3 linked regions of the Arabidopsis thaliana genome follow. The protein of the gene in region 3 purifies or fractionates together with the protein of the main gene of each other region. This does not show direct contact. Each region holds a gene or a part of one and is shown on either strand. Other genes may lie near its edges.

What was found.
Region 1: the proteins of SPT16 (region 3) and AT1G63210 fractionate together in Arabidopsis thaliana (co-fractionation; one large-scale study listed by BioGRID). This does not show direct contact.
Region 2: the proteins of SPT16 (region 3) and PKR2 fractionate together in Arabidopsis thaliana (co-fractionation; one large-scale study listed by BioGRID). This does not show direct contact.

Annotation. Positions count from the first base shown.
Region 1 is NC_003070.9:23,441,579-23,445,334, reverse strand, and holds the start of AT1G63210 (Transcription elongation factor Spt6), read right to left. Parts: upstream 1,648-3,756; coding exon 1-1,647. UniProt on the Arabidopsis thaliana protein: Transcription elongation factor that enhances the transcription elongation by RNA polymerase II (RNAPII).
Region 2 is NC_003075.7:15,429,523-15,433,278, reverse strand, and holds the start of PKR2 (chromatin remodeling factor), read right to left. Parts: upstream 1,752-3,756; coding exon 1,632-1,751; intron 1,566-1,631; coding exon 1,408-1,565; intron 1,396-1,407; coding exon of another isoform or gene 1,326-1,395; intron 1,286-1,325; coding exon 1,112-1,285; intron 903-1,111; coding exon 688-902; intron 607-687; coding exon 511-606; intron 416-510; coding exon 279-415; intron 198-278; coding exon 39-197; intron 1-38. UniProt on the Arabidopsis thaliana protein: Chromatin remodeling factor that represses the expression of embryonic trait genes upon and after seed germination and thus enables the developmental switch to post-germinative growth.
Region 3 is NC_003075.7:6,604,278-6,608,033, forward strand, and holds the start of SPT16 (global transcription factor C), read right to left. Parts: upstream 2,081-3,756; 5' UTR 1,926-2,080; intron 1,720-1,925; exon of another isoform or gene 1,199-1,719; 5' UTR 1,174-1,198; coding exon 1-1,173. Other genes in the region: AT4G10720 (Ankyrin repeat family protein), read left to right, coding at 3,602-3,756. UniProt on the Arabidopsis thaliana protein: Component of the FACT complex, a general chromatin factor that acts to reorganize nucleosomes. The FACT complex is involved in multiple processes that require DNA as a template such as mRNA elongation, DNA replication and DNA repair.

The sequences.
Region 1 (3,756 bases), on a different chromosome or scaffold from region 3:
GTCATTTACATCCCGAGACCGCAATCCAATGGAACCTGAGTAAAGCACATCAACCAGCTCTCCTGATGAATCAAGCATCACAAATGTAGTTTCTGGATTTCCAGGTCCCCAACAACAAGCTAGGACCCTCGGTGCAGCTTCCTCCTCCGAGGTATTATTATTCCTTCGATATGGCCCTGAAGACACTTTGTTCCATAAAACCTGTCCATACTCTGAAAGCAACTGAGTCTTCGCTCTGCTAGTTAGCAAGGATCTTGCTTCTTTCTCCATTGACGGCAAAACAAAACCATGAACCGCATCCTCCAGTATCAATTTCCTCTGCTCGTTCCAGAGTTGAGCATACTTACTAACACCAACACTTAGATAGTGTTCACTGCATTCACTAATTATCCTATTCATCTGATTCTCAGGCAGCTTGAAAGTTACTTGAAGAAGCTTCTCCTCTTCTGCTTTCTGAATGAGAAGCCATTGTACACCATCAAACTTTCTCAATGGCTTCTCGCTTAACCACTTAACCGCAGAAAACCGATGGAAGGAATCTATAACCACATTCCCATCTGGTGTTGGACTCGTTGAGACTACTGCATTCTCCATAAAAATTCCACGAACATACTTTCTAATCGATGGCTCGCAGCTTATCTCAACCGCAGCCATATGCCTTGCACCTTTAAGAACAGCTTGAGAATCTCCAAACATTGCACACTCATAGTTCAATGCCATCTCCTCTGGTGTTTTCTTTGCATCTTCAAGCTCATCAACAAAAACTTTCTCAAGAGACAACGCTAGTCCCAATTGCTCAGCGCTATAACCAAACTTGTTTGCAAATTCCTTAATCCCAAATTTGCTGCAGATGCTATATTGCGATTTCCTATTCGGCCTCTTGTACTGTCCTTCATCGATCTCACAATGAGGAAAATGCAAGTTGAACTTTGAGTCTACATCATCAACTTCTCTCTCTGTCTCCGCCGCTTGAAGAGACTTAATAACAGATTCAAAAAGACTCTTATTCAGATCAGACATGCAGGTTTCTTCTTCAAAACGTTTGGTATAGTAACCAAACAACGCGGTTTTCCTTTTCCGCAGAAGAACCCACTTTCTATCCAAATCTTGAATCATCCACAAGACTTTATGCCACTTGGTCTCAAGCTTCTTGTCAAGATTGAAATCACTACCATCATGATCATCATCAGAACTGTCCAATAAACTCCGACACTGCTCCTTCCGATACATAGCTATAAACGGTATCTCTAACTTCTGCACATGAAACATCTCTAAAAACTTCACAATGTCATCCTTATTAATCAAACAACCCTGCCCTTGTTCTTGAAGCAATCGAGCATAAATCCAGTTGCTCTCTTCTTGAATGCTCATGTCATCTAGGGAAACAATTCCAATGGCTTCTTCAAATATCTGCATTCTCTCAGGAACATCAAGCTTCCTAATTTCATCATCTTTCTCCGTCATATACTTCTCAGAGAGAACCATTGGTTCAAACTCATCTTCTAACTTTCTTTCGATCTTTTCGTTATACTTCAAATCCTTTTTCCGAAGTTTCAACAATTCTTCAGGATCACCAAATACATCATTAGCGTATCGTAAAGCGTTCGAATCAGTTCCTTGCTTATATTTCATTTTCTTCCTCCTCATTCCTTGAGCACCATGATCATCTTCATCTACAATGAAGTGACTCAAATCATCATCATCATCATCATTATTGATCTTATCCTCTTCCTCTGAAGATTTCTTCAAACGTTTATACTTGTTTCTTTGGAAAGTGTCGTTGTTATCTTTAAGAAGTAGATAATCATCTTCGTGAAGAGTAAAGGATTCGTCTTTCTTCCTTCGACTTCTACTCTTTTTCTCACTACAATGTCTCTGTTCTTCTTCTTCTTCTCCATCATCAGAACCATTCACTAAAAACCCATCGTCAAACTCATACTGATCATCTTCGTCTTCATCATCTTCCTCACGGTTCTCCACTGGATCTTCATGAATCTGGGGCTCTGTCTCAAAAACAGAGTCGAATCGTTAGAAAAATAATAATAACAGAGAATTTAGGGCTTTTGAAAGCAGAGCTTTTTATGTACCTTCGTCGATCCTATTCATGACTAGGTTAGAATATTTAGCTATACGAAATCGATGAAGATGGAGATCAACCCTAGAAACTCTGTGATCGTAAAACTAGTCTCTATTTGATTCTGAATTTTGCGAAGAGAAACAAAGAAAAAGGCTTTTCGTACTTCTAGGGTTCACACCAGCATTAAGAGGCTACTAATTGAAGTTTTGAAGCATTTCTTATTTTTAAAAATATTTATGAAACTCTTTTTTTAGCTGATATTTAATTAATATATTTGGTATTTTTTTCGATTCATTAAGAGATTTATTTTTCATATTCATACAAATTTATATTGATAATTCTTTTTTCCACTAATTTTTTCATTATATAAACTAATGATAAAATATATAGGTGAAATATATTTTTAAAATATTAAACCTATAAAAAACAAAGAAATTCTCGAAAACTAAAGCAGAATCTACCGAAAACACTTAATAAAATTCATAGCACAAAAAACCATAACAATTAAGAATTGCAAAACAAAAAAAAAAAAAAAAAAAAAAAGATCAAGCAAACAACGGAGGATGGGATAATGAATCCTAAGAACTGAAAAAAGTAAAGAAGCAAACCAGACCGACGATCACTTGAATCAATAGAAACCGAGTTTGAGCCAAAGACAAGTGTTTAGAAGAGACTGCTAGATCACTAGAAGCACGAACCAATTAGAAACTCTAGCACAAACAGCACCAAACCGGAAGCAAACGCCAGACTGATCAAAACTACAACGGGCACTCACTCCCCCAACACCAAACCAAATTACTATTGATAATTTCTTATATCACATCTTTTGAAAAAAGGATTTAATTTAAGCCTAGTTATTAAGGCGCTTAACGTTGCCAAAAAAAAGAAATTATTCTATAAAATTAATGATTTTTAATTTAAAGGTTAGGTGTTTCTCTAGACTTAAATTATTTTCTTACACGATAGAATACTTAGAGGTTATTTCTATTTACGAAAAATGAGAAAAAAATGGAAAAACCAAACGGACTGAAATCACATGGAGTTTGTATATGCATTATTAATTCATGAAAAGAAGTGTCTTGAATTTTCAACCATTTTACTTTTGAAAATCACACTCAACAAAATTAGCTTTTGGTATAAGTATTTTTTTTTGTTGAGAAATTCGTGAAGACGTGTCGTTGGGTGGGTTCCAATAGATATTGTTCTAATATTGGCTAAAAGGTGTCCAAAAATAGAGTGATTCTGCAGAATATATTAGTATAATCATCTCCACTGGATAACCAAAAACAATATTGTTTGTTACATCGTTTCTCTTTTGTCATCTTATGCTATCACATGATGATTTTTTAAAAAGTGATGCAAGTTTGTAACCCTCTATGTTCACATGCTACGTACACGCAAATTTTGAAAGCACGGTCATTCAAGAATGCAAAACGTGTTGGTGGTCGAGAAGGCCGTGGACCCGTGGTCATTACAATTACTCAATTAGTGTTTTCTAGTAATTTAGAATGCACATGCACTCCCCCTCTTTACTTCATCTTCTCATCCTTATGTTGTTATTCAGTTTCTCGATTAGCTGTAACACTAATCTCTTCGCTCTCTAAACCACATGACCCAATCCAACCAAAAGGTTGTGGTCTTGTAACCTGGCATTTTAATTTGAAGACTTTTTATCAGAA
Region 2 (3,756 bases), 8.8 Mb from region 3:
AGTATATAGTATCATTCAGATAATTAATACAGAAATACCATGCACGTCCACTTGATTGGACTCAGAACTGATATCCCTGGGTGAACCATCTCATACGTCGTGAGCAAGACATCAAACTTACTTTTACGCCCTTCAGAGAAGTAGAACTCATGTTCCCATATAACATCACGTGCTTCCGAATCCCCAGTGTACATAACCTGCATATATCATACGATGAAAACATTAATAAATAACTAATACCGTATATGTGACATATATATACGAAACATGATACATACCACATTCATATGTGGTGCCCAGGTGGCAAATTCCCTCTCCCAGTTACGGATGGTTGAGAGAGGAGCAACAACTAGATGAGGAGATAAGTTTTCCTCGAACAAAGAGGCCAAGAAGGCAATGCTCTGAATAGTTTTGCCTGCAGCAACCACAAAACCAATCTTATTTTACACAAATGATAAAAGCAAAGCCTATGAATAACCCCAAAAAAGAAATGGATTTTTGAAGACGTACCTAGTCCCATTTCATCCGCAAGGATTACATTGGTTTTCTTGGACCATGAATACCTTAGGAAATTCAGCCCTTCGAGCTGGTATGTATGCAATGTGCCTTAAAAACATATAAGGTAAGTAAATCAATAACATTATACAGAAACTGTATACAAATTGTTCAAGTAGTCTAATAAAATACCTGTAAGAAATTCAGGAGTAAGATCAAACTGTTTGAATTCCTCTCGATTTCTCTCATTTTCGACATATTTATCTCTACGAGAGCTAGAGTTTATATCCTTAAACCTTTGGATTTCATTCTGGAAATCTGAGATGTCAGATTCAGATTCCCAGTAACTATTTCTGTAAGAAAGTTCTTTGTACTTCACCAGATACTCCTCCCCATCATCTCCTTCCCTACATCATATCACAAACAAAAAAACCATAATTGTCAAAACGAAATCCATTAAGTGTCACACTTTTCTACACAGAAGATAGAGAAAGAAATATAAACGCATGAATAAATAATCACAAAGGAAAAAAAAAAAAAAAAAAACATAATTGTCACAACGAGGTCTATCAAGTTAAGGACATAAAAACAAAGGACAAGACTTGAATCACTTAACCGGCAAGCAATAATCCGGTCAACAGTTTTCCATTCAGGACGAATGGCGATAAACTCATGAGCTCCGTTCTCAGCGATGAATACGTCCATAGCAGCGTTAAACCTGGTCACCCTTAATTTTAGTTTTAAATGAGGATGGGACTTGTAAGCCTTCTCGAACTCCTGCTCGGGCACCCTAAGAATTGACATTAATAATCAAGTGATGATAAGATAACCAGACAAGAGAAGCAACAAAAACATAATAATCGACATGTTTAATTAAATACAACACGATATCGCATATTGCTGGGAATTTACCAAGAGCAGTGCAAGTACGATAACCCCTTCCACTTCACAAGATATTGTTTCACGACAACTAGGGTTGGTGTCCCGTTGTCAGAAGAATTCGGATTGTTAGATGCAGTAGGACGCCATTCACGGTCCAAAATCTTTTCAATCTCGCCAAGAGGACAATCCTGAAATGGATCAAATAATTAAAAGTCACTGCAGATCTATAATTTCACAACAAGACAAAGACATACCTGGTTACTTCCGCCTGTTTCTTCAACTTGTTCTTCACGAATGTATTCATCCAACTTGTCTTCAATATAATCTGGCTTTGGCCCGGTTCGTCTACGAAGCCTTTGCAACAGATTAGCCATTTCTCTGCATGAAAAAACCACAACAATGTGTTTGGTCAGTAAATATGATTCATTAAATTTTTAGATAAAATCGTAACAAGAAAGAGTGAAAAGAGAAATATCTCAGAAAATCTAAGACCAAGGAGGAGCGTACAAGATGAAGAAAATGCAAGGGAGCTAAAACGCAAGAGGGGTGATTCTTAAGGATATGATAAACGTCTGTTTATATATATAGAGAGGGAGTGGTCATTATTCTTTATTTCCTTTTAATTTTGTTTTATGGAGATAACACTACCTTTTTTTGTCAATTTCAATGTAAAGGTGAATTAATTTGTAACCAGAAGGGGATGCAGATGTAGTTGTGGCTGTGAGAAATTTTTAGAAGTGAGTCCTAGTGGTTTTTGTGAATGAAATTGTACCTAAAACCGTTAAGATTACGCGGCAATTTTGAAATTTCAACAAGAAATTCGATGATGATTTAAAATAAAATTATCAAAATAACCATATATTGAATAATTAAATATTTAAATATCATTAAAACAAAAAGTTATTTTATTTTATTAGTATAAAAAGTTGTTTGATTTATTAAGTTTCCTTGACACTGGTCAAACTATAAATTTATATGCTTACCAAAAAAAAACTATAAATTTATATTGTATATATACATTTATGTAACATAATTAAAAAATATATATCATATTTAGGGAAGAAATTAATTTAAAGTTTTTTTTATTTAAGATTCTTTGTCTGAATGGGTTGACCAGAAATAAGATTTAAATATTTAGTTATATCTTTAGTATCTAAAGATATGTGTCTGAAAACAAATAAATGAAACTTAAATAAAAATCTATTCAATGCAATATAATGTGATTTGTTTCTATAGAATAAAACAAATATTAAAGAGAGGCATGCAAATGGTAAGTATGAAAAAGGTTATAAAAGAAGAAGGAAATAAAGATTAGATTCATGCACTGTAATTTTGTTTAAAAATTAGCATTATCTTGAGTCTTGACCACAAAACCAAAATTAGTCGTCCGTTACAAATTGGAAAGGGATTTGGTTGTGACCAATAGTATGAAGATGGTTTACTTAGTTTCCAATACTCTATGGACAAATGGTGCATTTTTGTATTTGTTAGTTTTTTTAAGAGGTCCACATTTCAATTGATTAACGCTTTTTAAATTAACTAACACTTAAAAAAAGTTTTGTTACAAAGTATTATATAGATTTTAATTAATTGTAACAGCAAAAGCTTTCATAGCTCAGTTGGTTAGAGCACCCGTTTAGTAAGCGGGAGGTCTTGAGTTCAACTCTCAATGAAAGCAAATTTTTGTTATTTTACAATTAAAATCAGTTTTGTTCATTTTTATTAATCTTTAAAATAGATATGGTGTGAATGTTTCTCTTTATGCTTGGGCCTGTGGCCCTTTTTGGGCTTTGAAAAGCCTTGTAAGTTGACATAAAATCACGCTTATCAATTAGAGAATTATTAAAATATCCACCGAAATGTTTTCGGTGATAATGGGCTTTGAGTGCGTACCAGTAAAAGAAGGTTGAGACTTGAGAATAGCAATTAGCAGCGATCTGACCAAACAACACAACACAGTTAAATCATTCTCGAATACTTCCACTGGATGTCCACTGTGCAGCATGAAATTTGCATATATTTATTTTTAATTGATACAAGTTATTTTAGATGTTTATTGTATTTTTTTTGTAGAGCCATCCTAAAATAACCAAACCTTACGAAAAATAAATAATACAGAAACGTATCCAAAGGGGTTCTTACTCTTTAGAAAATTACTGAAATCAATTGTAGAAGAGCCTAAACATTGATTTAAATTTTGGTTTCTCGGTGGTTTTGTTGGACCATTTTTAGAGCTATAAACTTCTTCTAGAAATTCTTTTTTCTTAAAATGAAATATATTGTGTGTTATAGAAAAAGAATCATAAACAAAGCCCCAATAGTAGTAGCAATCTACTGATTTAGTATCATCAAAATGATGGGACTTGTGTAGAACTGTAG
Region 3 (3,756 bases):
ATTTAATCCTGACTCTCGGAATTCCAGACCGATACCAGTCCCAGCAGATTTAGTTAGCTTGTCAACGAACTCAGGGGCATTCTTTTCAACAACAGAAAGGGCAGCTTGATAGACAGTGTTTATCTTTCTTCCTGACCTCAAAGCATCAATAGCAGCCTCATGTGCCTTGAGAAGAACCTCATATGCCTTGCTCTGGAGAGAAGTTGCATCTATTAGGTAGGTCCTGGCAACATTTGAGCAATAACTATTATACCTAGCACCAACAGCACATATTATGATACTCGCTGGATCATAAGTGAGCAGTTCATCATTGCTTGCAGCACTTGGTTTGAGATCAAACTTGCCTCCGCTTTGAAATATCGGAGGGTAGCATATGTCAACATTCTCTGGCTTCAGTTTCACACTGGCCTTAGTTGGCTCAAGTATCGCTTTCTCAGTGAGATCCATCAGGGCAGAGTGGGTGACGTCTTTCTCCTCATCAATGGCACTCTCAAGATTTGGAACAACAACATTTTTCATCACACTGTAGGCTAGATACGCAGCTTTCTTCACACTCATGACCTCAGTATCGTCTTTAACAGCAAATAGATCAGACAGCCCCCCAGTTATATCTACGAACTGGAAGTTTGCATTCTTTAGCCTCTCAGTCCATGTCTCCAGAAGCTTACCTTCAGGGGCTTCACGAGCAATGTGTCCAACAACTTGTGAATCATTTCCATCACCCCGGGATAGATCACGGATGGCACGAAATATGGCATCCATCAGCCCTGTTCCATCATCACCCTTAGGCTTAACATGCATGATAACATCAAGCTTCAACTCATCATGTGCAGGTTTTTTCACAACTTCAAGTAGAGAAGCCTTGTTCCTACTACACAGGAAATGGATCTGCTTCTTGGTAAAAACCATAATTGTATCTGGAAACTCATACCCAAGAAGCCAAATATTCAACGCTGAAGATTTCAGGTAACGCAGATCATCAGAAGCAGGAGGGGTAGCAATGGCAAGAGCGTCGGCAGATCCCCATAAGTCTGCACTGTGCTTCTTCCAGTGTTCATACAATGCTCTTGCACGTGAGATAAAGTTTTTAACATCTATGGAATAAGTATTCCCAGCTTTTGGAGGCACTCCACTAGGAGGGGCTCGGGCATTACCATTCCGAGAGTCTGCCATCTAAAGAGTCCAGCAGCAACCTATACTGCGAAGAAAAAGTAAAATAATACTCAGAAACAAGAAAGTTTTACATAAACGAGACAGAGAGAGATTCACAAGCCTAAAGCTTTCACTAATCAGGAAAAAAACAAAAGACTAATCTTTTTATCAAAAATTGAAAAGACCAACAAAACCTTATCTCGTGAATGCCAAATAAAGTTCAACAGTTTTTAAACAACGTCAATCTCCAAATGCGCAGGACATAATCATATACATATAGGTATTGGCAACAAAAACGTGAAAATGAGAACTAATATCGCAAAACATTAGACTCTATATATATCAAAAACGTGAAACAATGTCGAGAGATATAAACTTAACGAATCCAAATTGAAATCTAGGGTTTCATAGCCTTCAAAATAGGTCAAAATTTGCAGTAAATTACACCAAATTTCAGACCCAGAAAGAAAAATTAGGGTAAGGAAAAAAAAAACCACTTCGAAATAGAATCAATAAAATCTCAAAATTAAAGCAAAGACGCGAACGGAAGCTTCGCACGGCGAAACCCTAGAAATGGAAGAACAAGAAAAAACAAAAATCAATTACTTGTCTAACGCAGCGAAATCAAAATGGATCGAGTTAAGAACATGATTTTAAACGAAGAATCAAATCGAAGAACACGAAAACGAGATTTAAACAAGTTGAATCGTAGATTAAAAACAGTGAGAAATCGAAAAAGGGGGAAGAACAGAAAAATCAAGCGAAGAGTTTACCCAGATGGTTAACGGAGGAAAATAACAAGGTAGCTTTACACAAAGGCGGTTTTGGCCGCGAAACAAGAAGAAAAACAAACTCCGGCGAGGCTCTCTTCGAGAGAGAATGGGGAGAGAGTAAGCGAAAGTTACCAAAGAATGGTTTTTCTACCAAGGCATTTCCTGAGAGTGGAACATACTTTTATTCTGATGATGGTGGGCTTCGCTTACTGTTAAACACCGATTTGTATTGGGCTTAACATAGTGACTAATAAAGGCCCATGTACTATATTTTTGTTTTGCCGGTGGCCCATTTACTATATCGTTGTCGATTTTGTTATATATGAATGATAAAAAATAAACAGCAACCGAGCTAATTGAACCAGAAGACCAAACCAAGTTTATCTCGAAATTAGACCGAAACTTGTTTACAACTCGATTGGTTTAAAACTCAAGAGAAATTAAACCGATTTTTAGTGTGACAATACATTATACATGCATGGATATGTGATCTCAAATTTGTGCTTTAGTTTTAAGATTTGAGAGAGAGAGTTTTCAACTTTTGACCTTTGGCTATAACTACAAAATTATCTTTGTAAATGTAGTTTACAGTATATAATGATGAGGTACATAACCATATTATAAAGTTAATGAAGTAAATGATTATCACTTTTTTTATTTGCAAAATCACTTAATTGGGAAGTGATTTCTCAAAAAAAGAAAAAATGCTATGTTATTAAATAAATGATGAATCATTACATTTTATGTTTGTTTTATACTATATATCTAAGTATATACTCTTACCAAAAAAAAAATTAGTATATAATGATTTATCTTATATGCGGTTTAGAATTGTTTGAAGCTAGATCAATGTACGCTTAATGCCTAACACTGTTTCAGAGCGATATCGCCATATGGTTGATCCTGTTTCAATACCTGTAATTCAAAAAACAACACATTTCAGCTAAGAGGCAATGCAGAGATAGAAAAATAAAGGAACAATCCCTATTGAGGAACAATTACCAATGTCGAAAACATTCGAGCAGCTAATTTCCTTGTCTTTCCAGCCAATATCTTGCTCAAACTTAGATCTCCAATGCTCTACAATGTTCAAAGAATGTTACACGTTAGTAGAGAAACAATAAGCTCTCAAAGCTAGCTACGTACATGGTTTTTGGAATCTTTATTTACCTTGTTCTCTTTGGCAAAGCATCAGAAATTATGGGAGCTTTCATCATTTTCTCTTGTTGTCATTATACCGGCGACTACTCCAATGGCTCCAGCATGCCAATGACTTTGCTTGTGTCGTATTGGAACATGTCGAATTCTCGACTTTCTTATCATTTATATCTTTGCTGATTATTTTGATATGATCAAACGACGACGTTTTAGTGATATGATTACTCTCATGTTGTGAATTCTGATTTTCACAATGTGTTGGGTTGGTAGGATTTATATTCTCTTAAATTAATGTATCAAGTTCTACTTAAATTTGTAGTATCCCTAGAGAAGACTTTTTTTTTGTAGTCTCTTTCTCTGAGTTCATCTAGTGTTTGTCTTCTATTGGCTTAAACAAATGATTGGTCAAGTCAACATCAAATACTTGTTCAAACGATGACATTATATTCTATAAGTAAATGTAAAGTTTTTATTTCTTGAAGAAAAACAAAGACTTGTTTCTTCTTGTTCTTGATATAATGGATCCAAGATTGATCGTAGCTACTCAAATCGGAAGCATCGATGAATTGTATGCTCATATCCATGAGAATCCATACATTCTTGAAATCATTGATGCAATACCTTTCATCAACACTCCTCTCCATATAGCTTCTGCTTCTGGTAACCTTTCTTT